Linked DNA regions of Coturnix japonica. The protein of the gene in region 2 purifies or fractionates together with the protein of the main gene of each other region. This does not show direct contact. Links are inferred from orthologs where the notes say so. Each region holds a gene or a part of one and is shown on either strand. Other genes may lie near its edges. The genes, in order: ARPC2, ARPC5L, ARPC1A, CAPZB, ACTR3 and ARPC3.

Region 1 (5,196 bases), on a different chromosome or scaffold from region 2:
GCTTCGAGCTTCCAGCTCTGAGCAGAGCCTGCAGATCACCGAGTTGATGCACTGTTGGATGAGAGTGAGCCAGATTCAGTGACAGACTGCAGGCTCTCGCTCCAGAAAGGTCACCCCAATAAAAAAATTATGAGCAATGTCTAAAATTATCCAAAGCTGTTCCTCCCCCCCTCTCTCCCCAGGCCCCACTCGACTAACAAAAGCTACTTTGCGTGAGCTGTAAGCGTGCATGAAATCAAAGAGCTCCCACAGCACGCCTGCCACAAACTTGAGAAGCACTTTGCTGTGCGGTAATGGAAGTCCCCATGTGTGCTGACCCACAGCATTGCTGGGACCCCAGCTTCCACTGTCAGCACGGCAGCCAGTCTGCAGGCTCTGCTGATATCTGCTCTTGTCTTGCACCAAACGCGGCAGCTGCAGGAGGTGCTGCTGATCCTGCACCGAACCCCAAAGTGCAAACATCACCTGAACGCTTCTCACCTGCTCCAGGATTGGCCATTCTGCAGATGCTGGGCTGCCTGAGCTCCTCCATCCCTGTGCTGTCCCCAGCTACCCCACAAGGAAGTCACTCCCAGGCAGCACTGGCAGCACAAAGTTCGTATCACCCACCTTCACCCAGCAAGGCCAGAGCACTCCACTGCAGAGCAGGTGAGCACCACAGGGACCACAAATGGGAAATACCACAGAGGATGTGGATGCAGTTGCAGCCAAACTCTCCAAGCAGCCTACAGGAACTGGTTTACAGCACAGAAGTTGAAGCTTCAGCTGTTTTCCCATTCAACCAGCACTCATGAAACCCTGCAAATTTGCCCCTATTGAAAGCTTTACAGAAACCTAACATTGAATGAGATATGTTTCCCCTCCACCTCCAACCAAGGGAAAAATCACACTGTTCTCCACCTATGCAATTTCTTCTCCTGCACAGCAGGTAAACAGTAAGTACCAATTTGAGACAGATGATTAATTAGCTTGCCCTAAACTGCCAGCAATGTAAGGCTGAAGAACCATACCTAAGAACACAAGCCCTCTGCTACAGTTTGGCTGGGATCAGAGTGGACCAAAACTGGAGGGCAAATCTGTTTTGGGGGGGTAGTTCTCTGCTGTGCTTTAAAAAGAAGTGAACACAGGAGACAGAAATGTTTTACCTTGAAAATAGGTTATTGTTCCCAGGTATTCCCCCACTTCAGCACTTTGACAGACTAATCTTTCAGCTCAGGGAGCTGCTGGATCCATGGCACAGTCACAGAAGGAGAGGGAAGTGCCCACATCATGGAGCAAGTTTAGATAAACTGTGCATCACATCTGCACAATTCAAGTTGCAGGGCAGATAACTCAGGGTCAGCTCACAGTGACTTACTCCTCTCAATCACTTAATCCCTTGGAGTGTGTCCTTGCCCTGACCACCCTGGGTCCATCCCCAGGACACATCTTGGGTTGACGGTCACCCAAACAGAGCAAATCCCCTCCTGCCTTCAAGCTCAATGCCACAGGATGACCCTGGAACACCAGCTGGATGGAAAAGAAATATCTCATGAATAAACATGGCATGGCATAGCACCAGTACCCAAAAAGACTTGTTCAGAGAAGTAGATTTCCATTTTCCTTGGTTTCATCTCTGACCTTCATCCATGCCTTGTTCTTTCCTGGACAGCAGAACAGCACAAGCACAGAAGAAAATGCAGAAGTGAATTACTTCCTCCCCTCCAGCAACATTCTGAGGGTGCAACACTCATCCAGAAGGAGCACTTAGCTGGTCTTCTATGCAAAAGAAAGGACGGCCCATAGAACAAGAGGCAGAATATCATTGGCCACACTCACAGCAAATTGATCCAGGAAGGATTGGTATGCCAGGCAAGCACGCTGAGGCAGTAACAAGCTTTGCTGTACAGCAAAATGGAAACATTGTAGATTGGAGGTGAGTGAGTAACCTCAGCTCTAGCTGCACTGAGTCAGGGCTTTGAGCTGCACTCAGTCTCCTGATGGCTGCATCCTCCATTCACTGCTGCTGCTGCACTTGGACTGATGCAGGGACACGCACACAGGCTCCCACCAGCAGAACGCCTCCATATGAGCTTGTGGTGAACGAGTGTTTTTTGACACACACTATTAACCTCCAGATACTTCAGGTTTTTTTCCTAATGGAAAATGCAGCACCCAAGAGCTCTCTCCTCCCAGTGTGGTGCTTTGGGGATATGTTGCACTAAATAATCACATGAAGAGGCTGATGGCAGGGAAGAGAGCAGCGTGGTGATCCCACAAGGCAGCACAGTGGGAGCTGTGGGAGCACAGGTGAAGGTAATTCAGCTGTGCTCCTGGAAGGGGTGGAGCTTGACTCCACGTCTCCTAGATCCCATTTAAGGGCTGACCACCACTAAGGCAGCATCTCTTTCTGGAGATTGCATGGCTGCAGATAAGGGCATTCACGTGAGATGACTGTCTCAAGCTGAACTATGCTCAGACAATATCTTCCCAGCACTGAAGCGCTGCTGTCAGTAACACTCAGTGGCTCCCCGGGGACTATATGATCCAGACCAAAGATACAGGTGCAGATCAACTGCCCTACAACCTCCACAAAGCCAAGATGCTCAGCAGCCCTATGCCAGCAGCCAGGACAAGCGGATCCTCTGACCCTGCCAACACCTCCCATCCCAATGGCACACCCCAACACCACAAGCTCCATCACTCTCACCTAATCCCAGCCCTAAGCACCCCATGGAGCCTGGCCTCACACAATCTTCCATTCATCCACTCAGTCCCACCACCTCAGCCCCCTCCACCCTTGCCGGCCCCACCCCATGTCCCCATTGCCCTGTCATACCTCACACCCAAGGCCCAGCTCGGTGCCACCCGCCCCTCCCACGCCTCTCCCATAGACATTATCCCTTAGCTCCTTATCCCCCTCCCCTCCCTCAGGCCTCACTAGGCCGCAACGCTTCCTCCTCCGCCCCGCCCCGGCCTCATTCACCGACCCATCTCCCTGCCCTACCCGGCGGCCGCGCCCTCGAACTTCAACGTGAGGGTCTCTTCGATGATACGGTTGTTGACCTCGAGCAGGATCATGTCGGTACCGGGGTTGGGGAACCGGCTCTCAGCGCTCCGAGGCCGGAGGGAGCCGAGCCCGCTGCGCGCACCGGGGACCCGCCCGAGCCTGCGCCGCCGCTTCCGCTCTCGAGCCCGCGCGTCACTTCCGGGCTCGTCCCGCCCCCCCCCAACACACACCGCCTACATGATGGGGGTCGGGAGTGAATGTGGGGTGTGAAGGGGGAATGGTGGGGTGAGCCGGAATGGGGACTGCCTACATGTGGGGTGATGGAGTCCCTGTGTGGGATGATGGAGTCCCTATGTGTGATGATGGAGTCCCTACAGTGCCCCCCCAGCGTTATACTAATGATGTGAGAGCGCCCCAGGATAATATGGGGTGTCCCCGGAGCACCCATAGGGATGGGGTGAAGCCCCATGGCCAGCAGAGCCCCACGAACCCCCCCCAGCCGTGCAAAGCGGGTGTGCTGTGCCCTGGGCTGGGGGTGCAGGGAAGGTGTCCCCTCTGCTGCCGCTTCCTCTTCGTGCTGCAGAAGGTTTTGCAACCTTGCTTCCTCCCTGCGCTGCATAAAGCGGCAGTGCCAGCTCTGAGCCTGGCTCACTTGGTGCAGGTGTGGGACCTGCTGGCACGTCCCCGTGCTCCCCAGGGTCTCCGTTTTGGGGTAACATCCCGTGGCAGACCTCAGCCGGGCTTGGAGCTGGGAAGGGGAGAAGATTTGGGGTGCAGCAGAGGCGGTGAGTGCGTGGGATGCTTGGCTATGGGGTGCCATGGGGCACCCTGCTTACCTGGGCAAGGGGTGCAGGGAGGGCTCTGCATAGCATAATCTGAGCTCCACGTAGGGTAACCCCAACCCTGGGGGGAGCTGATGTCCCCAAGTAGTTTTCTGCGTGGGGTCCAGGGAGGAAATGGAGACTTCCCCTTCTGTGGGCAGAAATCTGTCCCCATAGGAACTGCAGGGAATTTGGGTGGGGAATCGGAAGGAGAAGCCAAAAATATAGTGGGGAGAAGCGTGTTTCCTCTGCTCTGGGTACTGTGGTGCACTCGGGGAGCTGGTGTGAGAAGGGTTTTTGGGGAGGACATCAGGATTCAAAGGACTCACACCAACCGGAGGGACTCAGGAGGGATCCTTCATTGGGGCTGAACCTGGAGGGGACAGTGCTGAGGTGAAGCAGTCCACACGGGGCTGTTGGGCAGGAGGACGTATGGGGATAGTTTTCAGGCATGAGCCTGTTCATTGTATGGTGTGGTGAGGTTATGGGGTGTGGGAGAGCAATGGGGGCTGGAAGTGCTGGATGTGCCCTGAGCCCACGTTGCTTTGTGCTTTGCAGGCAAAATGGGGACATTTTACGCCGATGAACTCTTCGATATCTTATACAACTACACTTCTGACTATGGCAACTACAGCCTGGTTCTGCCTGACATCGATGTCTCCTCTTCCCCATGCCGTAATGAAGGTTCTGTAGCCAACAAATACTTCGTAGCCTTCATCTACTGCTTGGTCTTCCTCCTCAGCATGGTGGGCAACGGGCTGGTGGTGCTGGTGGTCACCTCCAGCCACATGAACCGCTCCGTCACCGACATCTACCTGCTCAACCTGGCTGTGGCCGACCTGCTCTTTGCCCTCAGCCTGCCGCTCTGGGCTGCCTACTGGGCCCACGAGTGGGTTTTTGGCACCGTCATGTGCAAAGCCATCTCGGTGCTGCAGGAATCCAACTTCTACAGCGGCATCCTGCTGTTGGCTTGCATCAGCGTGGACCGCTACTTGGCCATCGTCTACGCCACCCGCGCTGCCACTGAGAAGAGACACTGGGTGAAGTTTGTCTGCGTGGGCATCTGGGTGTTCTCGGTGCTGCTCTCCCTGCCTGTGCTGCTGTTCCGCGAGGCGTTTGTCTCAGACCGCAATGGCACAGTTTGCTACGAGCGCATTGGAAATGAGAATACCACCAAGTGGAGGGTGGTGCTGCGGGTGCTGCCGCAGACCTTTGGCTTTGCCTTGCCGCTCCTGGTCATGCTCTTCTGCTACGGTGTCACCGTGCACACCCTCCTGCAGACCAAGAACGTCCAGAAGCAGCGTGCCATGAAGGTCATCCTAGCTGTGGTGCTGGTCTTCCTTGTCTGCTGGCTGCCCTACAACATCACGCTGGTGAGCGATACTC
Region 2 (5,045 bases):
CGATGAAACCTTCATTGTTCTTAGCAGCCTGCAGGGCTGGCAGTGGTTCTGCTGGTACAACTTGTGTGTTCCGTCACACAAAGCGCACGCTGTATTTGTTAACTCCTAAGCAATGTTTTATGCTAATTGCTACAACCAGAGCATCAGTTCTCAAGTTGTTCCACCCCTCTGTACCTGTGCAGGTACCTTCTGCACTGCTAAAACCTTCAGCTTCCTGCAGTAACAAGTTCTACATTCACACACTTATTCCTTTGCCACATTTCAGCTCCTTGCCTGTTCCTGTCTTGGGCCATGAACTCGGGAGCTCTATGCCCCCTGTCCTCTCTGAACGTACAGATGAGCTCCTTCTTTGACCCAGGTTTTTGCAGTACATACACAGCGCTACTCTCTAAACATGCTATAAATCTAAGAAGCAAGGAAATGAAGGGTGGACAAAACAGCTCATTGTAACACATCCCACCACATCTGAAGGCTAAAGTACACAAAACCTTATGAACTGACTTGCATCTAGTGAAGGACACCGATGATGCAGAATACCTTACACTCCTGCTCCTGAATGGGGAAAGGAGGAAGGGCTTAGTCTGGTTTCATTTGCATCCTTAATAAAAATGAAACATTCTTCTAAAGTCTAGGAGGAGATGCATGTAAGTGAGGGCCGCAGAGGAGCTGCTCAGATTAGACCTGACGGATGCAGAAATGGCATCAGGCCCTTCCAGGGGCCAGGCAGGTGCTGCTGAGCTGCTGCCCACAGTCAGAGTGAGCTGCACGTCCTGCCTGCACTGCTGGAAAGCAGAACACAAAGCTCTAAGCAGCTCCCTGCACACTGCACAACTGCAGCTTTCCTTTGAAAACAAAGGGGAAGAGATGCTTGCACGTGTCTACGTGTTCTGAGCAGTGACTTCTTTCCAGTCAGGGCAGTCTTGTGTAATGTTACGTACTGGGAGTATCAACCTACGGTGACCCAAAAAGAGCCTCCAGTAGGAAGAACAACACAAAATGTCAAGCACAAACATGTTCCTTCCTGTGCAATTTCCTCCCCCTCCTGCCTATCGATATTCTGCAAGGCTGGGGACAGCTGCCAGGAGCTGGAGTCACCATTGCACAACTTGTTTTAACTCATCACAAGGAAGCACGCCCTGTGCAAATGACCGGCCAGCAGCCAGCTGTGAGCACAGCACATACAGCCCCCCTCGCTGCGACCCTGCCACAGAAACGCCACTAAGTGCCACTGAGGCATCAAAGCCTTTACTGTGCAAACTGAGCAGGTTTGCTATAACTGGTCAGCTCGGATGTACTTCAGCACAGCGTTTCACTGACAAAAAGCATCACATCTGAGCCATCCTGGGCACCCCATGAGCCAAAGGCACCTTCAATCAATCAATCAATCAATCTCACCTCCACTCCCAGCTGCTGCTCCTTGTGGGGGAAACCACCACCAGACACAAGTCATAAACCTTCCTGCAGCTGACGCTGCTCTGCCACACCCACCCCTCCCATCCCTCCAGGCTGAGGAGAGCTCTGAAGTACCACAGAAACTCCATACGCCCAACACCAAGAGGCCAAGAACAAAAGGCAGCACCGAGCTCTGCTCCTCAGGGAGGATCCCCCTCATCGCACACCTCCCCATCCAGGAGGTCCTGAAAGCACCGACAGTGACAACAGAGCCCAGAGCAAACACTCACCTTTTCATGCCATTGGAGTAATATTGCACTGCTATTTTCTGTCGGCTTTTCAAATCCTTTATAAATATACTTCATTAACAAGTCAATCCCGTTTCTGTCTAAGGAGTTCACCGCTTGTTCAATTTCACTGCTCTTAAAAGACGTGAGGACTCTGAGCATGGTGCCCTGCGCCTGCTCCTGCACAGGAAGGAAAACGGCATTAGGATCAGCAAAGCTGGATGTGACCCCAAGTGCAGCAAAGCACTCGGAGCAGCGGCTGCGCTGATGGTGTGAAGATGCAGCAGCCAAACAGGAGGAAGTTTTACACTTTAAGTTTCAGTAGTGAGAAGGAAGAAGAGCAGAGAGCTTTAAAACTGGACTTGTTGGTGTTCCCACCTGGGGGGAACCACCTGAACTGCACTGCAGAACAAACCTACAGCCCGAGAACAACGAACAACGTCCGGCTCCTGCAGCACAAGATCCCCTGGGCTGTGCTCTGTGCTCCCTCTCAGCCCCCGGCTGCTGCCGGCCGCGTTTCCCCACAGCACGGGCCGCTCCCCGGGCACACAGCAGCACCGGGCCGTCCTACAGCAGCACCGCGACACCCGCACACAAACCGCAGCGCCGTCCTTCAAGAGCAGACGGACGGGAGGTGCCATGGAGCACAAGGTCAGCGCCGGGGGCGCCGCTCGTTACCGGTCCCGGGGCCGCACTCACCTTCATGGCCGCGCTGCGCGTCTGTGCGGGGTTGTTCCTTAGGGCCGCGTGCAGCGCGCGCAGCGCTTCGCCTCTACGGCGAGAGTCAAGGAGCAACGGCGGCACCGGGAGCACCGGGACGGAGCGATAAGGGGAGGGGGCAGGGGAGGAGGGCGCTGCAAAGCGGGTACCTGAACTACGGCCACACAACGGCAGCGGGGAGGGACGGGACCGGGGGCAGCACGGAGGGCAGCACCAAGCAGCACCGAGCAGCACCGGGCAGCACCGGGCAGCACCGAGCGGCACCGGGCGATACCGGGCAGCACCGGGCGATACCAGCCAGCACCGGGCAGTACCGGGCAGTACGGGGCAGTACCGAGCAGTACCGAGCAGTACCGGGCGATACCGGGCAGCACCGGGCAGTACCGAGCAGCCTCAGGCCGCGCTCCCGCCCCGCAAACCTTCCCGAGGCCCCGCGGGCAGCGCTCGGTGGCCGTGCCGCCATGAAGGATACTGCCTCAGCAGCGCCTCCACCTCGGGGCTCGCGTCGGGTTCGGCCGCCGCCGCCTCCTCGGGCTCCTCCACGAAGCGGTTCTCGTCGTACTGATCGATGTCCAGGCGGCGGAAGCGGGACGAGAGCGTGCTCCGCGCCATGCCGACGGAACCGGAACCGTCGGAACCGGAACCTCCCCCGCCGCTCCGCCGGAACCGGAAGCGCGGAGCCCGCCCCGCCCGGAGCAGGAAGGAGCGGAGCGGAGTGCGCCCCCCCGTCCCGTCCCGTCCCGTCCCGTCCCGTCCGGCGCCACGGAGCGACACGGCGCTGAAAAACCACAACGAGCCTTTAATTACAAAGTGGGCGGCGGCACCAACGGCCGCGGAACTTTGCTGCTGAAATCTCGTACATCTACGGGAGACGAACGGAGCCGCACGGAGCACCGGGAGCAGCCGAACGGCGCCGCTCAGCGGAGAAACGAACAACGAGCGGTTCGGATCCGCACAAATGGATCCGGGGGAGGGCGGGGAAACGGCTGCGCAGCGCAATGACAACGAACGGCGATAAGTTAAAGATAAAAGGCAGAGGCGGCATCTCAGCAGCAAAGTGCTCAATAAAAAGTATATTGTAGGGCGGGGGCGGCTCAGAGGAAGTAGGGGGTGGTTGTCCGGGGAGGGATCACCCGCTCTGAGTCTGGGACGGCGCGGAACAGCCTCGGTTCTCTCGTATTTACGTCCTGGAAGACCATGATGGAAGCGATGTTCCCGCAGCGATAGCAGTAATTGGGAGCTGACCACACCGTTACCAACTTCTCGTCAAACATGAATTTGTAGCCTTCGTGAACCAGCTGATGTGCTCTGCAGATGAGCTTCAGGTTGTTGATGTGGACAAACTGCAAAGAAAAGTGGCGTGTCACAGCTCTGTGCGTGGCCGCGCAGCAGCTGCTGCCCAGCAGAGCTCCTCAGCGCTGTGTGGGCCCAGCTCCGGGCTCAGCTCTGGGCTCTGCAGCGCTGACAGCACTGACCCACCCGGGAGGTTTTCCCAAGGCCTCTGAGAGGTGCAGGCTGTGCTAAGGACACTCCCTGTGTCCCTGTGCTCCCAGCACAGCTCTGCGGCCCCAGCCATGTGTGCCCAGCACCCCCACAGAGCTGGGACTGAGCTGATGGTGCTGGGAGCAAACCGCTCCTGTCAGAGCACAGAGGGCAACTTTGGGCTTTGAAACCTGAACAGTGAGAAACACTCCTGCCTGTGACAGCCGTGGTGCCTAGGCCTGCACTGCCCACGCCTTTCAATCCCTCCTGAATATGCTGCAGAGGAGCAGAGAACAACACACTGCATGAGGCAGGGATTCATCTTAGGGCCGGTTCAGAAGCCTGGGAAGTTCAGTGGGTCTGAGCCTCTTACTATGTTGCAAAGTAACAAAAATTAAGTCAAAGCTAGTATTTCTTCTTCCAAATCATTAGACAAGTATTCTACACAAAGCCTAGTAATTCTAGTTAGTCTCACTGCATTACACTTTTTAAACACAAGGTGTGCATTATCTCACTTGGCACTTTATGAGGGGAAAAGAGTATGTCACGAGAAAACCTCCCTCACCTCCACACCAACTCAGTCCCCTCACAAGGGAAGTTCCTTAATCCACTCGTCACTACAGTAAAGTCAAACACTTCATCTCACACCTGCAATTATGGGACGCAGCACAGGACGGCATCGTTACCTCATTTGTCACCTTAGCACCAAACAGCCAACCCGCCCCTCGCGGACTGATGGCCCACGTATCCACATCTTCTGGATCAGACCAAACCAGGTCACAGAAGGCGCCTTTATGAGGAATTTCTTGATTACGTTCAATGGTGCGAATCTGATCGAGTGTCTTGATGTCCGGAGACAATCCACCGTGCACACAGAGAATCTGCTCATCTATTAGCTGGAGAGAAAAAGGAACACAAAGAATGCTCAGTATTTCAACCAAACCAAGAACCTCTCCAGCACCACCCTCACCACCACCAATTCTTCAAGTTATATTTAGACAATCTACCTGTATCTTTTTTAAGGTGTTTACACTTACAGCTGCTATTGTGAGCATGTCAAAGACTTTGGTGCAGTATCTCCAAGCATTAGCATTTCCGTATTTGGTTTGGCACTCATCTGTTAAATAGAGAATTTTTTTCTTCTTAACAGACCAGAAGGAATTC
Region 3 (5,335 bases), on a different chromosome or scaffold from region 2:
CATCAGATATGATATAATGCTCAGTGTCAGGAATTGCTACGTTTTCCAGTAGTGAGATGAATAACACACATCTCAAAGGCCTCTCAAACTAAGCACTGTTATCTGCAAATACCCTTTTGTTACATAGCATCTTACTTTTTGAGTAGCTGTTACCAACTGTATGCCCTTGCATACAAAACAATGTCCCAGCTCCTCCTGGCCTCCCCCCCCCCAAGTATATCCTAAGGTCATACTACTATACTACTTTTATTACAATCAGTTTGATTTGGCTTGCAAGGCCTTAATCTCCAAAACATTGGCATCCTTTCTGGATTACCACAGTTAAATTGCACCAGCAATACCACAGGAACAAAGGTGGAACGTACTCTGGAAAGCTATGCTGAAGATGAAGCCTTTAATGCTTAAAAGCTCTGCAGAGTTCCTCATTTAGATACTTTCACCCCATCTGCTGAAAATGGTTTTGAAAACATAAAGCCATGCTTAAAGTCAATTTCATTCCCGTTATGTAACGTTACTTGGCCTAGTTGAGCATCCTTAATCTGTGCAGCTGAACTAGTTTTATCGTTAAGCCAATAAGGGCTGCAGCCATTACGTATCTCAGGGCTGAAGAACCACAGCAGCACCGGTTTAGGAGCCCATTAAGCAAAGTCTCCTTCCTGAATGAAAGACCTTCCATTGTACTTCACCCATTGTGAGAAATATTTGTCTGATCTATTCTTAAAACCTCTAAGAAAAGCCTCCATGTTGCCTAGTCATCTGCCTGCTACTTTAGCTTATGGCTCCTCACCCTACTACCCCCAATGGACATGAGAGAACAAATCGTCCCTTCCCTCATGGCAGCATCCTTTTATCTATTTGAAGACTTACGTCTGTGGCTCTGTTCCCTCCAGCTCTGTAACAGTCATGTGTTCAAAGACTGAGCATTATTTTTACCCTTTTTCCTCTAAATCACACACATTTTGCTCACATGGAGCCCAGCACTGGACACACCGTTTTAGCACAGCTCAGCATGGCAGGATGCCTGTATCCTATTAGCACTATACAGACCTGCATGGCATTCACTGCTCTAACAGCAGGACATTGCTATTCAGCTTGCAGCCCACAGCAGCTCCTCCATCCCTTCCTATAACACACAGCTGCCTTTCCTAACACCAATACAACCAGCCCCACAGTTATAAGCACACAGTACTACCTGATGCTTTTTCCCATTGAGTTCCCCTCTTTGCATTCTAGCCCTCTGACAGTGCATTAATACAAGCTCAGACTTGACCCCATCTCCAAACACAGCAATTACAGGGGCTGTTTCATTATAAATGAATAATGGACCGAAGGTATTTCCCCAGACAAGCGCTGACACCAAGTACATTGTACCCCAACCAGCTCTACCATGCTGGACACAGCTTGCCTTGCTCCCTCCATCCACCGAGGCACAGCATGCCCCCCTCACACAGCCATAGAGCCCTCTTACACCTATAGACCCCCCTCACACAGCCATAGACCCCTCTTACACCTATAGACCCCCTTCACACAGCCATAGACCCCTCTTACACCTATAGACCCCCCCCTCACACAGCCATAGAGCCCTCTCACACCTATAGACCCCCCTCACAAGCCAGCACAAAGACGCCTCTTTACACTCTTACTATAACTTCCCCTCTCAGCACCTATAGGAGCCCCTCAACACAGCTATAGACCCCTCAACAACAGCCCATAGACCTCTACACCTATAGACCCCCTCACACAGCCATAGAGCCCTCTTACACCTATAGACCCCCTCACACACAACGTGAAGCCCCCCCCATCTGTGCCACATCCCCACACTGCGCATGCGCCCCCAACCCGCCCGCCGCCTTTGTGTGCGGCACATTCCTCCCTCCCCCCCGCGCATGCGCACAACGCCTTCCCGTCACGCCCCGACACCCCCCTCCCCGTCAGCATGGCGCATGCGCATCCCGCGGGGTTGGCCGGCGGGCGGCGCGCATGCGCAGTGCGCGTTTCCTGGCTCCCTTGTCAGTGCCGGGCCGCCCCCCTTTCCCACCCCTCCCCTCGGCCGCCGCCGCCGCCCGGAGCGGAGTCGCGTTGACTGCCCAGAGTCCGCGAGCCCCGCTCCGCCCCCGCAGCCTCAGGTGAGTCCCGGCCCCGACCGAACGGCTGGCCGCCCTCAGGCCCAGCTGCTGAGGGGGCGGCGGCTCTGCAGCACTCAGCCGCGGCCTGCCCGCCGTGCGGGGCCCGTACCCGGCCCTGTGCTCATAGAGGGGCGGGTGGGCCGGGAGAGGGGGCGGCGGGGCAGCTCCGTCCTTGTCCGCACCGCACAGCGGCCTCAGCACCGGGCACCTGTGTGGGACGGCACCGCCCGGCTGAGTGCGGCCACCGCCCCGACGGGAACGGGCCGATATGACAGCGGGGGGAGGCAGCGATCAGTCACAGGCAGCTCTGGAAATAGGCAGAGATTTACAGCAGCTCTCACACTCACACTGTCTGTAATTTGGAAGCATCTCCTCGCTGTCTCCTTACCTCGTGCTTCTCGAGAGGTGACAGCAGCTCAGTCCTGGGCTTCTCAGGGCTGAGTTTCTGAGGGGCTGTGTGGGTGAGCAGGAGGAATTTTGGCACCCTGCCCTTAAAAGAAAATATTGAAACAAGGACAATTAGTTTGCATTTGAAAGGAAGCTCTATCTACCTAACAAAGTTACCTTGACAGTGCCTTTCCTATGTTAAATCCTGAGCTTGGCAGACAGGAGAACACTGTGGGGTTTATGCTGTATTGGTTACATCAAGTCATTCAGCCACTGATAAGAAATAAATCTTCATAAGATCTTACAAACAGTATTTATCTCCCCAAAGGAAATAATATTGCAACGATCAGATGGCAAATATTTGTGCTCTTTGAGATTGTCATCACTGTTCTTTCTTAATGAACATTACCTGCTTGCTGTGAGTTGTGGTGCTTGAGAAGGATGAGGATGCATCATGTCCCTTGTCCAGCTGTAAGCTTTGGGAACAGCCTGTAGGTTAGTGAGCAAAACAATCTCTGAACTAGGAGCTGTTAGGATGGGACAGCAGTGTTTGTACAGGGAGCCAATCTGTGCAGAAAGCACGAGGACTGCATTAGAAATAGCTGCATTCTTCAGGCAGCAGAGATTGGATAGTTTTACTTTGTATTTGGAAAGAATCAAAAAGGCTGAGCATTCCCTGTTGGTAGAAGAGCTCGTCAGCTTTTCTTGTATATGGAAATGCACTGCTACTGAATTGCTGGCATGTATTAAAGCAAGACTGGGGAAAAAGCAATTTGCTGTGATGTTTTGCTTATGTTAATGCATGGAATCTCACACCATAGCTGCCCAAGGTCAGAGGTAACTTGGATCATGGCAGTTCTCTCACATTAATAAAAATAAGTAATTATTCTTCTGAGGGCTGTACTCAAATAGCAGCTTTATGTGATCTTTAGCATATGATTATTAGAAGAAAATTAGAACAGTTACAATTATGAACTGGACTTAAAATGAAGTTCAGCTAAATGAGCTTTGAGTACATTTAATGACACTGCAGATCATGGCTTTCATATATAATATAGATTACTATATATATATATATATGAACAGTGCTGCATCATCTCTACTCAGGACTTTAGGCATATTTCTTAAAGCAGGGGAGTGCTCAGCTCTGTAAGGGGTTACTCATCTCTCATTCACTCCTGAGTTTCTGTGGGACTGCCGTTCATTTCCTGTTTGCTTCCAAATTCCTACCTTGTCCTGAAGTCTCCACCCTCTGCTAACATGGCCATACTTGGCTATGTTGTAATTTCAGGCTGCGATGGGTGTGGATGTCTTGGAGTGACATCACAGAGATGGTGCTTTTTAGATGTATGCAGTGGGGCAGACCGACAACGTGCCATCAGCCATGGATAAATTGCTACAAAAGTTTGTTTAATATGTGAAAGGAGGAAGAAATGGACAAATCCAAGTTGTGTGTGTTGAGCTGTGCACATTGCAGCTGTTGCAGGTGACCTTGAGTTGTTACAGTGCTACCTTCCATCCGTTTATGCTGTCCTTGATTAACACAGGACACAGAAATAAGATCTGATATATTAAACAGCTTCGCAGTCACCTGTTTGCACTGTCTCTTTCATAAGAGAAAAGAAAAAACTGGGTGTCTCACTTTGTATGAAACAAAGCATTCACAAACCCAAAGAATTCAATTTGATCTTTTACTGTTTGAGTCTCATAAGGATGGAAGCCATAAAGCAATTAATTGTTAGGATTAATTTGAAGGAATTAGTAATTAATTACTGATGTTAGTAGTTTTTCCCTGGGATACACATAAGTAGTTTTATCAAGCAACACATCAGCAGATTACAGTCACATCTGAGCACATCAGCTTAACCTCCTGATGGATGGAAAAGAAAAAGGCTTCATTGAGGCTCACAGCACTACAATACACACCAGAATGTCAAATCAGTTCACTGAGACATCACTGAATTTCTTATTTAAGTATTCTAATTCCCCAGTTAAATTCTTAGGTGTGTTAATTTCATAAGAACCTGTTTCCTCTTATGAGGATACAGGAAGAAACAAGTGCATACACCTTTTAGAGCAATTCATTGACCTACTAAAGATCTTGGGGCACACAGGGAAAGGTCTTAATTACAATGACACATGCACAGTAGATAGATCATCATAGTGGACTGAAGCAGCCTTTGTAGATGTTCAAGACCGATTTGTTTTTATAACTGTTCAACTTTGAAGTGCTTTGTTGTCATTTTTACATCTTTACGTTTTTTTTCCCCCCCCCCAACTTTTACAACATAGGAATATCTTTAACTCGGAATGTCTCTACATCAGTTCTTATTGGAGCCAATCACCTGCCATGCATGGAACAGAGACCGTACTCGTAAGTAACCTTTTCATTTACTTTTTCAACCGCTCTTTTCTCTGTGCTGTCAATCGGATCATCTTGAAACCTTCTGGACCACATTCAAGAAAGATGTGGTCAAATACATAACGCTGCACTTATAACCCAAAAAGCACATTACATTCCTAAATCTGGTTTTGATTTTTAGACCCTCTTTTGAAACTTTGACATGTGAGCAAACCCAGTCTTAGTGGAGCTCCAGAAAGTCTTGCCTTGGTCTTTACTTCATGAGAACATGACTTATCTCATACTCTTTAACCTCTTATTTCCCAGCCCCAAACCCAGCCTTTTCTTTTTATATATAGTCTTCTACTGAAGAAGGATAGTTATATTCTAAATGCACTGTCTTTCTGTTCAGTGTACTCACAATTGTGTTACAACCATCATTATTTGATATTATCCAGCAGGGATGTTAGCCCATCATTTA
Region 4 (4,580 bases), on a different chromosome or scaffold from region 2:
AATGGCATAAGGAGTCTGACAGCTACAGCTTATAGATCCCTCTGTTGGAAATACACTCCTGAACACCCCATTCTGCCTCAACATCTGGAAGTCAGTGGGATAGGCCTTTACATGAAAGCTCAGCTTGATGAAAATATATGACTTGCCTAATTGCAGAGCACTAGCCCCAGAGGATTTACCTATTATGATAAATGGCAGAATGTCTCTGTTGGTGCTTTACTGAGCAGTAATATATCACAGAGCACATCTTCCTGTGCGCAGGAAAAGCTCAGATTGCAGCAGACCAGCCTTCATCCAGCTCTGCAAAACGTTCCACCTTTGCTACAGAGTATTTCAAGCACGAAAATCAACACACATCTGCGCTGCTTTAATCTGAAATCCCAGGCTTCGCTTCCTCTACAACTTTATATCCTCCCCTTCCCATACCTCCAGATGTAAATAAACTCCAGGTTTGGAGCCAACGTCTTCCTCAGTGGACTGGCACTTCCTCACAATGCTCACCCAGGCTTAGTAAACACAGACGGGTTCTTTGTGCACAGCAGGAGCTCAGCAAGGCACCTGTTGGCCTTGCTCTTAAGGAGGGGGGCTCCAGAAAGCTGTTCAACAAAGTGCACATTTGATTGTTTGCCAGAAAGCTGGAAGGTTTCTTTCTACTTTGCATAAAATGAAACAGGACCATAGAATTGCTCTGAGTGAAATTAAAGCGCAGCCTGATGCAAGCACAAAGCATGGTCAAAGCAGCACGGTACCGTGGTGGACAGCACAAGTAATTGCAACACACACTGAGGATGGGACCTTAATGTCTGTCAGACAGAGAATCATGTGCCAAGCATCTGGCTCGAATCAGGATGGGGTGGGAGCTACCTGCTGCCATTGGAGTGTGTGCATGGTAACCAAAAAGCTGCTGGCATTTTTCATTCCCCTGTAAGCACCACTCCTTGTTGCAAACCGAAGGCGGTGTGTCCTGTCCTTTCCTCTCCTCTCAGACGTACAGCACTTCAATCTGTGGCCCCTCATTGACGCAGACAGCACAGAACATGCCGAGTTCCTTTCCAAATTCCAGCCTCGCTCCCTGTATTTATTGAAGCCTGCCAGTGTCAGATGTGAGCTGGGAGCTGCTTCCTCCATCCTGGCTGTGGTGCAGCAGCTCTGCGCTCTCTTGAACAGCATCCAGGCTTGTCCCCAGAACACAAGCTGCCTGGAGAGCACTCTAGTTGCAGGAACAGGCCTCTATCTGACTTTTCTTGCCTTCTGGGGCAAGACAGTAGCAATGGATATTGAATGTACAAAGCGAAAGCCTGAAGTTCTCATTTAGAAAACCATCAGGCTAAGTGAAGCTACACAAAGAGCTTCAGCCTCCCAAACCAGGACAAGCTCCTCAGTGTCTCACATCTCTCCCTCCTTATTCTGTCTACTTACAAACATAAAATGCTCTAGTCTCCCATTCCAAACAAAGAGACAAAACTAAAGGAGACACAGGACAGGGAAATGACTTCTGAGTAATAACTACCCAGAACAGAACTTGACATGGCCCCAGGTCAGGTATAATACTGAGATACACAGCATCTGGGGACAAGGCAGAGGAAAAAAAGGTTTTAGTCTTAAGAAATCTCTGCAACATTCAAGAAGAGCCTAAACAGGAGGATTTTAGGCTCTTACTTTCATATCCTTCCACAGTACCGTGCTGTCCGCTCATAGAACAAACAGGACTGCCTGACTGCTTGCACCCTGTGTCATCTGCAAACATCAGGACGGGGAATTACTGAGCAAGTGTTTCCATTTGAAGCTACAAATGCTCCCCATAGCATTTCAATGCGAGCCATGCCCAGCTCTTGGAAGCTGCCAGAGGTGGTGAATTAGGAGGCATTACATGAGCTGTTCCTTTGCGCCTGCTGCTGGCCACCAACTTAATCATTCCAGTCATCACTCGAAAAATACCCGATTTGCAGCTCGGAGGTGAAACTGGTTTCAAAGTAATGGCTCTCAACAGACTTCCCTTTCCAAGCACTGAAAGGTTCTCCCTGCCATCAGCATTTAAGCCAGGATATTACGAAACTTGTGAACACTTCAAAAGCCTGCACTGAAACACAAGGACATCTGCTGTTTGCATTTTAGGATCAAAGGTGGTCAAGTAGCTTCAATGTTGAGTTGACCAAAAACATGAACAATCTACTCTAGATAAAGGCACTTTGTAATGACGGTCAGAACAGCTTACTGATGCTGTCAGACAGTGACGTGTCATTCACATGATAACTACAACCTACTGTCAGTGTATGAGCTCACTGTAGACTGTATGAAAAGCCCAGCAAGAAGCAAAAATAGAACTGCTGTCCCATTAAGCGTATGGTGGCATCTGCAAAGCAGAGCTCTCCAGCCCAAAGCTAAATGCTAAAACTCAAGTTTCCATTGTTTGTGCAGGAGCAGTGCATCATTACCCCAGTGGCTCCTTTATGGTTACTTACATTGGAAGCAGGCCCCTGCTTTAATGCATCACATATGAATTAAATGATCTGCTGTTCAAATGATGACAGAAGCATGAATCTCCTCGCTAAAGCTGAGAGAGTGAAAGTCAAACTAAACAAGGCCTAGGAGTTCAGGCCAAGGTGTACTGAGGACACCCATCCTCAACAGACTCTTGTTTTCCTTGGCATATCTCTCACACACCATAAGTCCATGGCCAGAGTCAAGCCCTTGGCGTCCACTTCACAGCTATGATTTAAAGTATTAGGAAGGCCTGTGATTAAATATTTGTCCGGGTCACCATAACTCGAGTGTAATTACTGCAAACATTCTAAAAGAGTACGCAATGCTCAAAAACCATCTCCAGATGCTTCTTTTTCCCCTTCCTGTTATTTCTCCTATCAGTTTCTTCTGTAAGTCAACAAGGTGGAAAGAAAAATCACCCAGGTCTAGGGCAAGCTTCCATGTCTGCAAGAGTAACACAATTCAGTTCCTCCCGATGATCGTAGACCCTTTGTTCCCTTGCCTGACTCAAACCTGTACAAAACCACAGGCTACTTAACAGAGTCTGCATTGTCCTTTGTATCGAAAGCAACAGGCTGCCCTGGGAAGTCTCATAAAGGAGTTTTAGCAACTGCCAATCTCTCTAGTCACTCATGACCACACAATATGCCTCCTGTCCCCTGAGTTTATTACTCTTTTCGTGTCACTGACTTCCACAACCCAGATCTTAAACAACCCCAATTCATGCAGTACAGAGACAGCAACCTCTGGCAGGTGGCTGGGGCAGAGGCACCTTCAGGCAATGCACTCAGCTCTGCCAGAGCCTTTGACAGCAGTGCAGCCTAACAGTCACCATTCTGGCACCTTCCCTCTGAGAAATGGCTTTCTCAAGGGGAAGCCAAAGCAATTTGAGCTGGAATAAAAAGCAAATGCTTAGAAGACATGTCATTTTTTATCACTGTCCTGGTACTGCAGGACTAAAACACTAAAGAAGGATACAGGCAAATACTGAAAGCCTTTAAGAACAGAAGAACTGAAGGTCTAAGCACAATACAGGGCTGGTTGCAGTGGCCACAAATTAAAGACTTAAATGAACATCTAACCTCCTGCTGAATGTTTTGTATTTCTAATTGAAAGTTACACTGCCATCAAGCCAAATTCAAGGGGCTTCCTGGTAACCACACACTTGTGCCTTATATTCTTCAATGGAGTGCACATGCAGCACGAGAACAGACGTTGATCCAACACCTCACAAAATAAGCTTTCTGTTCCTGACTGAGGCTACCGGGTATATAAATAAGGAAAGGCATGCAGGGTCTGCAATGTGCACCGGCGCAGTATGCAGGCGTACCTGTCTGGTAAGGCTCCCGCCAAGGTTCATGGTACCAGAACCAGTTTTATTAGTCTGCAGCCACAGCATCACTGTGGAGGTCAGCTTGTAATGAGCAGTACGGCCGCTGGATTTCTCCTGCAAAAGGGAGGAAAAAGGAAAAACACAAAAGGTTACAAACCCTCCAGATACTACACAAGGTGGCTGAGCACAGAGGCTCCACGAGTAAAAGGACAGATGCATGTAACTGCAGTTACAGGGCACAGCCTGCCTATTAAAAACAAGCACAAGTTTGCCTATTTTCCCAGTTCTCCAAAAGCAAAATCTTGCTGGAGCAATTTAACCTCCCGTTACCTCGTTTTTATTACCTAATTAGTGATATTTATCTGTAAACCTTTATGTTTCTTAAGAGGGGGGAAAAAAATCATCTCAGGATCGCGAGTACAGAAAGCAACATACCTTCAATTCTTCTGGGATTCTTTTTGATTACAGGCCTGACTTATCTCTATCCAAATTGCTTCGGGGAATTTTCAAAATTAACAGGGGAAAGAAGTTTACAGCCCCGAACACAATATTGCATTGTTCAGTGGAACACCTGTGCTCGTTAATTGTCTGGAATTAACTGGGTTTTGTTTTCACTTAGGAATATCAGCTGCCCCAGAGGCTGTACCTGAACCTCCACCACGTGGATGGAATCCCAGCATCCCTTAATCTTCTTTGATCCATCTCCAGCTTTCTTAATGAGGATCACACCGGCAAAACCATGATCCAGATCCCAGAGGTAGAC
Region 5 (3,927 bases), on a different chromosome or scaffold from region 2:
CAACCAATCTCAGAAGTAGTAGATGAAGTTATTCAGAATTGCCCCATTGATGTTAGACGTCCTCTGTATAAGGTCAGTAGCTGAAGTGCTATGTTTCTTTAGTACTTGTTCTGGGAGGATGGTGGTTTGTATTGAAATCTACTGGAAACTGGGATTAAGAAAGAAAGTGTTTTAAAAGTATAAAAGTAAACCATTTTTTCTGGAAAGGAGAAGGCTGTATGTTCACATAAGTGTTTTTCAGAAGGGGATGTTTCATTGCTCAAGTCAAATTGTAATGAAATTGTGGAAATTAAAATCTGAGCCAAAGAAATGAGATAAGATATGGATTCTAAATCAGAGACAATTTAAATGAGACAACCTCTTTGAGAATTCATATTCTGTCATGCTTCGGGTGTAAAATAATCTAAAACAGGGTAAAAGCACACCTGTATGATTATAAATTTGTTTAAAAGAGCCAACATAAGTGAGATTAGGAAAAAAAAAATTAGAATTTAAGAACTGGATGGAGCTGGAGATGTGCATTTTCAGAAACATTGAATACAGTTTAAAAATCAATGTATCTATTTTGACTCTAAACAGAATATTGTCCTCTCTGGAGGCTCAACCATGTTCAGGGACTTTGGGCGCCGTTTACAGCGAGACTTGAAAAGAACTGTTGATGCCAGACTGAAACTTAGTGAAGAACTCAGTGGCGGCAGACTGAAGGTTAGTTCTTGTAGCTAATACATTTAACAAGCATCTCCTTAACTTGGGTTCTTTCTACTTTTGATCTATGATCTGATGTTTACATTTTTTTTTCTGGTAACTCAGAATACATAAGACACCTGCAGGTTGAAATTATTATTATTATTATTATTATTATTATTATTATTATTAGGCAAGAGTGAAGGGATTTTCTCATTTCTAGTTATTGAAATAACTAGACAAGTTCAATCAATGCTATTTTTAAGTGCATCTTAGTAATAAAAAGTGACAAATTTAAAAGCATGTCTCTATAAAGTGTTTTGAGAGGAGTAAGTACTATGGGTCTTTTCTTGCAATTGAAGAAACAGTGCTTTGAGGAACTTAAGCAGAAAATAGAAGGTGGGTAATCAGAGAGGAGGAACCAGCAGGAATGCAAGTAGCTTTTAATGTCTGATAATGTAAATAGCTCTTGCTACTAAATCACTTTATTCTTAGTCAGGGTTGAACAACTGAAAAACTGATAGTATAATTGTATAATTACATACCCAGCATTTAGGTAAATGATAGTTTGAGAGAGGCGAACTTGGAATATACAGTCCTATAGGAACATATTTGAATATATGTATATTTTTCTTCCGTAGCCTAAGCCCATTGATGTACAAGTCATTACACACCATATGCAAAGATATGCCGTTTGGTTTGGAGGATCAATGCTGGCTTCCACAGTAAGTTAGCTATAAAGCTGAATATGTGTTTTTGGAGTTCTCATCTCTCATTTAGTTCATAATAAATAGAGTTGGGGATTTTCTGATGATTTTTGAGTAACAAATATTAACCCATTCCCCCTAAGCTTTTGCATTAGGCTTCAAAGATCTGGAAGAGCAAATGAAAGCTGAATTAATTTTATAATGATATATATTTTTTTTAATGGTGATTTTGGGTTTGTGATAGTATACATTGATCATGCTGTTGTTTGGCCGTGTGACAAATGAGGTTAATTTTGGGGCTTAGAAGTTCAGTTCTTTTCCCATTTGCTTTATAGATGTTAGTATTGTTAAGCTGAGGTGTGAACACCACTGACGTTTTTTCTCTTCCCCTTTACAGCCTGAATTCTACCAAGTATGCCATACCAAAAAAGATTATGAAGAAATTGGTCCTAGCATCTGTCGTCACAACCCAGTGTTTGGAGTTATGTCTTAAAGCTGACCCTTGCAGGGGTCAGGGAAAGGGAGGTGGGGAGGAGTCTTTCTGATTACTTGTTTGTCTGATGGCCGGTATTAAGATAACAAACATGACTTGACAATAAGGAAAAGACCAAACACAATTAAACAAGGTTATTTTAATAAGTGTCTCAACATGCGGATGTAGTGGAAAGCCAAAATGATCACGTTTTTTTCTTTAGATTGATTATTTGAACCTGTGCGTAACAAAGTGGATTTTAGTTCTTTCTGTGCCCTGATATTTTGTATATTAATGAATTATCCAAGATTTGATGGGATTTGACAGTGTATAGATAGTCAGCTCTCTAATGCTTCAGTTGTACCCTCTCATGGGTACGAAGCTGGAGTTTGTTTATATTTCTTACTTTTTTATACTTTGAGGAAAAAAAAAAAACGGATTAAAGAAACTGTAATATTTGAGGGGAAAAAAAGAATTTACCAGTGACCATCTTAAAAAGAAATTAAAACAGAAAAAGTCATTGTGATTCCTGCAACTCGTTGTTGCAAATCACAGCCAATCTAAATCCTGGGTTCCATACAATGCGACTGCTTTTGGAACTAAGAAGCTCCTATCTTGGATTAACCGATGCCTGCCTAGTGCTTTCTGATTACTCGGTGCGTTTTCATTCTATCTCTTGCTTTAAAAAAAAAAGAAAGAAAGAAAGACAAGACTTGGACCAGTATTGCAGTTCTGTAGTGTCATTTCTAATTAAAACCAAATAATCAGGTTATCGAAATTGGTGTATTTAAAGCCTAACACCATTCCAATAAAGGCACAAAATTTCTTTTTATGTTTGTGTCAGACTTGTTAATGTCGTTACATGGGAAGTTGTGAGCATGGGTTCCTACGTATCTGCTATGGTTTTTGAAGAGTAAGATTGGCTTGTAAGGTAGAAATCATTATGTGCATTGTATAAACTGAAGTGTGAACTTGTTAGAATGGCAGTTTATATGTTCATCTGGACAGCACTTACCTATATAAATCTAACAGCTTCTCCATCGTTAGGTTTGTTCATCTACTTCATTCTGTAACATTTTTGTTTCCCATTTCCTTTCAAGTGATGGCGTACAGGAGGCAGTTCTGCCTTTGAAATCTCTGGTTTTTCTGCAAGAAAATACCATGTAGATAAAAAGTGAAGTGAAAACAGTATCTCTCTCATTCTTTCTAGGAAGAAAGCTTCATATATTGAGTGAAATTACTTGCATTTTCTGTTGCTATTTGCTAGAAAAATCTACTTCAGACACTCACTAATATAGTTAAGATTGTTTACACAGAAGACCACAAGAGGGAGATCTGTTGGTTTCTTCTCCTGAACTGAAAAGATTGCTCAAGATTTTTTCTTTAACAGAGCTTTCAGTTACATCAAAAGATGATTAATGAGGCTCTGAAACAAGGGTGAGCGTGGAAAGCTCTTTTTACAGTAAATATAAGAATTCACGTGCTAGATTTGAGTGGAACCTTGGTGCAAGCAACAAAGCTAAATAATTGTATCACAAAACTACTATTAACCTCTCCTGATCAGTGCTGCAGTTCTTGTATGTGTAGCATTGAGAGTTTTCAGATGATGGCTTTTTGAGTCACAGCTGCTGACTAATTCATGTGGTAAGGCCCATAGGCAAATATGTGTAAAATAAAGAGGTTAATATAAGTTCTTTTCCAACAATCCTCTGGTTCTGCAACTGTATCATGCTTTAATGACTGGAATTCCACTGCAGTCATTAGGCTTGCGATGTCCTGAAGATAACAACTATTTTTCCACTGAAATTAGGTCTTGAAAATTCACTGTGAAGAATCCTTCATGCTACATAGACACACACATTGAGTCCTCTCAAATATGGGTAAGACTGCCTGGTAATGTTGCCTGGCAGGAGTGGGGACTGTCTCCTCCAGTAGCTGCCCCAGGTCTGGTGCTCGTGGAGTCCCTGTATTTTTATGGTTGAGCTTCTGGAAAATGATATGTGTGGTAAACGTGCCACTGGGTTTGTTGTGTGGCCATCTCTCTCCAGAGCTGAAGGGGTGGGT
Region 6 (5,049 bases), on a different chromosome or scaffold from region 2:
CTTGAATAATTTTCATGATGAAATGCAAATATATTTGCACATGAAATACAAGACCAGGATGTAATTCATGCATCTCCATCTTTTGGAGAAAGCAACCAAGCCTCTCATTGAATCTGTGATCATTAGGCCAAATCCTTACCTTACTGGGCTTGTCACTCTGAGGATCAAATACTTTTTCACAAAGTCGAAGGCCAGTTTCTTGCCTGAGCTGCTGCAAGTATGCTCTCATCACCTCTGAAATACAGCACAAGGACAAAGTAGCATTAAGGCAAACTAAACTGAGTGTGAAGGCAGCGGACATCACTGCCTACAGCAAGAAATGTGAGCTCTCACATCTGTAGGCCCTTGCTGGCTGTTCATTTTACAGCCATACTTGGATTTGTTATATTTGTATGAGTAAAACATATCTCAATTGTTTTCTTCTTTCAGCTAAGCCTTTGCCCATCATTATGGGTTTCCTCTCTGCCAGTGTAGGAGTTAGCTTGAGCTCTGTTACAGAATCTATCTAGCAGTTATAAGATCAGAAGACCTCAGAAAACAGAGCTAGAAGTTTTCTAGTTGTAACTGCAAAAACACAGCTGGTAAAGCTTGGACCAAAGCAAGTCTTTAGGGGTCTTTGTTAAGTCTTACCTTCCTCTTGCTTGTTGGTAGGTTTGGCATAAATGGCATTAAGTGGAAAGCCAGGTTCCCCAGGGATTGGGAAATTAGTGATTCCTAGCGTGTACATCTCTTTCTCTCCTTGGCCTTTAGAGTTGCACTGAAAGAACCAACCAAACAATTGATTACAATCCCTAAACCATTAAGACTTATCAAGAACAGCAGTGCAGTGTCCCTGCAAAACCACAGCCTCAAGTATTTGTTTTGTGGTTCTGTAAACTGGGGTTGCAGTGAACAGAGTCTGCTGTGCCTTTAGGAGATGAATACCAGCAAATACTCTCCTGAGTATAATCCCCAGAACAGACTGTTTCCCTCCTTACCTTTTGCAGCTTTTTCAAGCACTCAGAAATGTAGAGAGTTACGTAGATCAGTGTTCTGTCAGCCTCGTTCTGCAAAACAAGAGTAAGCACAGAGCCCGGTCTGTTAGACTACAAGGGACTTCATGGAACTGCTAACAGTTTGAAATAGGAACGAGTTCATGGCATTTGTGCCAGCAATTTCCTCATAGGAAAGGAATTATTGCAGAAAAAAAATACCTTAATTTCATAATTTTTGAAGAAAACGTTGGCTTTGAAGTAGTAGATGGCTTCATCTATAATATCTGTATCTTTAGCTAAAGCAAAAGAAAGAAAATGAAAGAAAACCAAAATTAAGCAGTGCATTGCTACACATTTGGTCATAACTTTTACATGTTGAAGTACACAAACAGTGTTTCTTGCAAAAGCAAAATCATTTACAAGAAGCAGAGGACTATGGTAAATTTTACCCGTGTGAAAGACTGGTGATCTCTGACCAAACCATTTAAGTTTCTTACTCTTAGTAGGACTTTTAACTCCCTTCTTTTCCCATGACTTCACAAAGGGCAGCAGGTTGGCAGTTCTTTGGTATATCCTACCAGTTGAGTGACTCACCAGAGTTTTAACAGTATAGAACATATTAATATATGTATATTAATATGTATAACAGTATAGAATATAATATATATGCAACAGTATATAGAATATACTGTTAAAACTCTTTCTGAGGGCCCAAAAATATATTTGGGAGAAATTAACACCACAATCAAACAACCTTCCTCATTATTCTCCTGAAAAAAAGAAGAGGAAGGGTAGATTACATAGTGGCAGGTTGACCTGCAGCTTTCACTTTCTTTTACAAACATGCTTGAATTCTGAAATATTTCCTTTTTCAAACCGAATTGCCACAGTTAAGCATCCTCAGCTATTGCACCAAAGCTGAGTTCTGCAGCTAAACCTCCACTTCCTCTGACAGCAAAGGGTTAATAGCACCACATCCTCACAGCCTGCTGAAAAGAGGCACAGGAGGAAGTGTGAAAATACTATCTGTAGGCAGTGTTAATTGCTAAAGCAGCTGAATTACCCAGAGCCGTGCCAGATAACAGCCATGGGATCATCATTTTTTCTAGTTGGCACCACTTATATTCTTATAAACTTACTTTCTCGAGGTGCTGGGCCTTTGAACTGGCTTCTGATGGGTAACAGTGCCATGTTCCCCACTAGCTTGGTATCCGAGTCCATTAAAGTTGAATGGTAAGCCTAGAGACAAGGGAAGACTGCTTATTATTCCTGCAGAATATTGCCCTTCCTTTATCCTGTTAAAACAGAGTTTGGTTTGTTAGGGATATGATTTAACTGGGAAGTATTGGTGATGGTTGGACTGGATGATCTTCTAGGTCTTTTCCAACCTTGATAATTCTGTGATTCTGTGGTGCTTCCAGGAACCTTTCCTTGCACAAACAATGGTCATTTCTTACTTAGGCCTTCTGCAACTCAGCACCATTCCAGCGATGAGCACAAAAGCATTTATTGGAACCATTTGTCAGTGGTGGTGGAAGAGCACAGGCTGAGAGAGATGGGGCTGTGCAGCCTGGAGAGGGCTGTGGGGAGAGCTGAGAGCAGCCTGTCAGTATCTAAATAATAACCAAAACCAGGCTTATCACATACACACACAAAAGGCCTTTCTGTGCATTAAAACTGATGTAAGTGAATAAGAAGCACTGGGATGTGCTACTTTCTGGTGTGGCCTTGTGGTGCGGTTCCCCCAGATGCACTCCTGCCGCCCGGCTGGGTGCCACGGGGGGGGGGGGGGGGCTGACTCTGTGAGGTCAGAACGGGATAAAAAAAAAAGGGGAAGAAAAGAGGAAGGCGGCAGGTCCCTCCACACCGATCCGCTCATCAGTGCGAGGCTCCCGGCTACAGCCCCCCTTTCATCCGCCCCCAGTCCGTCCCTGGCGCTCAGCGCCCGCCCTGCCCCTTCCCTCCCCCTGCCCCGCTCCGCTCACCGGCATGGCGAAGGGCAGGGCGCAGCTCGGTGCGACGGCAGCGGCGCTGAGCTCGTAGCAAATCTTCCTCTTCCTTCAGGAAATGAGGCAGCGGGGCGGTGCGACAGGGGGAAGCCACAGCCCGTACCGCCCCGAGGAGCCGCTCCCTGATGGGGAAGCACAGAACTGACCCCCCCCCATTACGCGCTGGGTCTGAGGGAACTGTTGTCCTTGTGAGGCAGAGTGCCCCATTTGCCCCCCTTTTGCCCCCCCTCCACCTCCTCGTCACTTGAGTCAGGCCGAAAAAATGGGGAGATTTGAAGCTGAAGGGCTGGGTTTCTCCTTTCCGTGAGCAAAGGGCACCTCTGCTGTGAGGATGGGCTGAGGGAGATGGGCTGTTCAGCCTGGAGGAAAAGGCGGCTGCAAGGAGTCCTTAAAAAGCTGCGTCCCCAAAAGCTGTGTTCTCTAATTCTAACCTCTTTCTGGTTATGGCAATGACTACCCTGAACTCTCACCTAACTGTCCAGGGCTGGGAGTAGCTGTGTCATATCCTCAGGTTTAGATAACTGCCACTGCCTCAAAGTATTCAATCATTGGTTTGGTTTACCAAGCCGCTCCAACAAAATGACATTAGATGCTCTTATTCTACTGGGTTTGAATCCCCCCTGTGGCGCAAGTGGTAGAAGTGCTGCTCTTCTACACATAGGCTCAAATCCTGGGAACTATATAATACATAGAAAAAGATGACACGCCTATATATGAGCATTTACTGATATTAAGCTTTACGTCACCACAAGGCCCTTTTTAGAAAACACTTTTATTCAATAATCATTAATAAAACTCGTTCCTTAGGATCAAGGAAAGGTTTATAAATACTTGGATATGACTAGAAGAAAAGCATCCTCCAATTCAGCTGAAATTAGCTAATAAATTGGATTAATATATTTTAGGAGAAATAATAATAAAAGATATTTTGAGAACGTTCGAGAGTCCAGGAACATTCTGTATTTACAAAAGAACTATTAACAGTAATACAGCTCACTATATTCTGTCGTATACACCGTCATATAGCTCACTTCTCACTAGCGATGTTAGTTATCTTAAAGGCAAAACATCACATAAATATGTTTGTGTGGAGGTGGATGGTTTTTGCTTTCTTTAAAACACACAAGCGATGCATTTTCTTCCTCTTTTCCAGCATCTGCTTTTTACTCATTCACGTGATCTTGAAAATACTCATCCACGAGTGCAGATTTATCTTCTTCATATTCCTGCAACAAGAAAACAGAAAACGTAATACCTGACTTTTCTCTAGTGACTGTTGGATGCTGTCAGTTCTGCAATGCTTTATTTTAATAAGCACAACAATGTCCAGTGCAGTTCTATAAAACAAGTAGCAAAACTTCCTGAACAGCAGTTTGTTTCTAAAGCTCTCCCATATGTATACATCAAAATCCAGGTGTGGTTATTTTGCATATCCTGAGAGTAGGAAACTGAATTTTTAAGAAGATCTTAGTGGCATACAATCATCTTTTCCAACCTTTAACATTGAAATAACATGATTATATTATGATTTCTATTGTGGATCCTTTCTAATTTTTCATCTTATCTTCAGAAATATCTTACCTTCGGTTCTTTGAATTCAAGATCTTCTCCATACTGGATGGTAGTGTCTATGTGCTGCAGAACTATGTTTATACTTTCCTCATCGGAGCGATCAAAAGGTAGAAATCGAACCATACCATAGTCATCAATCTACAGCAAGGATTCAAAAGACATCAGTAGGGAAATACACTACATTTTCTCATCGCATCATTGCTGCTCAGCAGTCTGGACAAGGAAAATCTAAGGCTGCTTAAAGCTATGCTGCACGTTAATGGCAATTCTCCACTCTGAATTCCTGGCTATCAGTCCAAAGTTCTACCCAGTCAATAAAGCTGTCTCCCAAAATGGCTTACAGAATATGATTCACATGAATTTTACTGGCTACAGTCAAGTATTATCAGGAATCTTATGCTAACCTGAAACATCAAAAGCTGAGTTAGGACAGGCAAAAGGAAAAATGTTTGAGTGCCTGGTAATCTTTTAGATTCAGGCTTTGCTAATAAATC

What was found.
Region 1: the proteins of ARPC5L (region 2) and ARPC2 fractionate together in Homo sapiens (co-fractionation; 7 studies listed by BioGRID and IntAct, with this or other methods). This does not show direct contact. The link is inferred for Coturnix japonica from reciprocal best matches to the Homo sapiens genes ARPC5L and ARPC2.
Region 3: the proteins of ARPC5L (region 2) and ARPC1A fractionate together in Homo sapiens (co-fractionation; 7 studies listed by BioGRID and IntAct, with this or other methods). This does not show direct contact. The link is inferred for Coturnix japonica from reciprocal best matches to the Homo sapiens genes ARPC5L and ARPC1A.
Region 4: the proteins of ARPC5L (region 2) and CAPZB purify together in Homo sapiens (co-immunoprecipitation; 3 studies listed by BioGRID and IntAct, with this or other methods). This does not show direct contact. The link is inferred for Coturnix japonica from reciprocal best matches to the Homo sapiens genes ARPC5L and CAPZB.
Region 5: the proteins of ARPC5L (region 2) and ACTR3 purify together in Homo sapiens (affinity purification with mass spectrometry; 6 studies listed by BioGRID and IntAct, counting the BioPlex papers as one, with this or other methods). This does not show direct contact. The link is inferred for Coturnix japonica from reciprocal best matches to the Homo sapiens genes ARPC5L and ACTR3.
Region 6: the proteins of ARPC5L (region 2) and ARPC3 purify together in Homo sapiens (affinity purification with mass spectrometry; 7 studies listed by BioGRID and IntAct, counting the BioPlex papers as one, with this or other methods). This does not show direct contact. The link is inferred for Coturnix japonica from reciprocal best matches to the Homo sapiens genes ARPC5L and ARPC3.

Annotation. Positions count from the first base shown.
Region 1 is NC_029522.1:24,164,225-24,169,420, reverse strand, and holds the start of ARPC2 (actin-related protein 2/3 complex subunit 2), read right to left. Parts: upstream 3,187-5,196; 5' UTR 3,061-3,186; coding exon 2,987-3,060; intron 1-2,986. Other genes in the region: C-X-C chemokine receptor type 1-like, read left to right, coding at 3,285-3,774, 4,369-5,196. UniProt on the Homo sapiens protein: Actin-binding component of the Arp2/3 complex, a multiprotein complex that mediates actin polymerization upon stimulation by nucleation-promoting factor (NPF).
Region 2 is NC_029532.1:8,069,031-8,074,075, forward strand, and holds the start of ARPC5L (actin-related protein 2/3 complex subunit 5-like protein), read right to left. Parts: upstream 3,060-5,045; 5' UTR 3,012-3,059; coding exon 2,872-3,011; intron 2,452-2,871; coding exon 2,379-2,451; intron 1,860-2,378; coding exon 1,683-1,859; intron 1-1,682. Other genes in the region: PPP6C (serine/threonine-protein phosphatase 6 catalytic subunit), read right to left, coding at 3,494-3,742, 4,568-4,777, 4,919-4,998. UniProt on the Homo sapiens protein: May function as component of the Arp2/3 complex which is involved in regulation of actin polymerization and together with an activating nucleation-promoting factor (NPF) mediates the formation of branched actin networks.
Region 3 is NC_029529.1:4,391,897-4,397,231, forward strand, and holds the start of ARPC1A (actin-related protein 2/3 complex subunit 1A), read left to right. Parts: upstream 1-1,993; 5' UTR 1,994-2,126; intron 2,127-2,514; exon of another isoform or gene 2,515-2,616; intron 2,617-2,922; exon of another isoform or gene 2,923-3,835; intron 3,836-4,805; 5' UTR 4,806-4,823; coding exon 4,824-4,887; intron 4,888-5,335. UniProt on the Homo sapiens protein: Probably functions as a component of the Arp2/3 complex which is involved in regulation of actin polymerization and together with an activating nucleation-promoting factor (NPF) mediates the formation of branched actin networks.
Region 4 is NC_029536.1:4,083,382-4,087,961, forward strand, and holds part of CAPZB (F-actin-capping protein subunit beta), read right to left. Parts: coding exon 4,464-4,580; intron 3,932-4,463; coding exon 3,815-3,931; intron 1-3,814. UniProt on the Homo sapiens protein: F-actin-capping proteins bind in a Ca(2+)-independent manner to the fast growing ends of actin filaments (barbed end) thereby blocking the exchange of subunits at these ends.
Region 5 is NC_029522.1:26,860,896-26,864,822, reverse strand, and holds the end of ACTR3 (actin-related protein 3), read left to right. Parts: coding exon 1-72; intron 73-579; coding exon 580-705; intron 706-1,325; coding exon 1,326-1,409; intron 1,410-1,788; coding exon 1,789-1,884; 3' UTR 1,885-2,695; downstream 2,696-3,927. UniProt on the Homo sapiens protein: ATP-binding component of the Arp2/3 complex, a multiprotein complex that mediates actin polymerization upon stimulation by nucleation-promoting factor (NPF).
Region 6 is NC_029530.1:4,512,612-4,517,660, reverse strand, and holds the start of ARPC3 (actin-related protein 2/3 complex subunit 3), read right to left. Parts: upstream 3,095-5,049; 5' UTR 2,966-3,094; coding exon 2,960-2,965; intron 2,214-2,959; coding exon 2,114-2,213; intron 1,271-2,113; coding exon 1,194-1,270; intron 1,047-1,193; coding exon 978-1,046; intron 758-977; coding exon 631-757; intron 235-630; coding exon 140-234; intron 1-139. Other genes in the region: GPN3 (GPN-loop GTPase 3), read right to left, coding at 4,147-4,209, 4,565-4,693. UniProt on the Homo sapiens protein: Component of the Arp2/3 complex, a multiprotein complex that mediates actin polymerization upon stimulation by nucleation-promoting factor (NPF).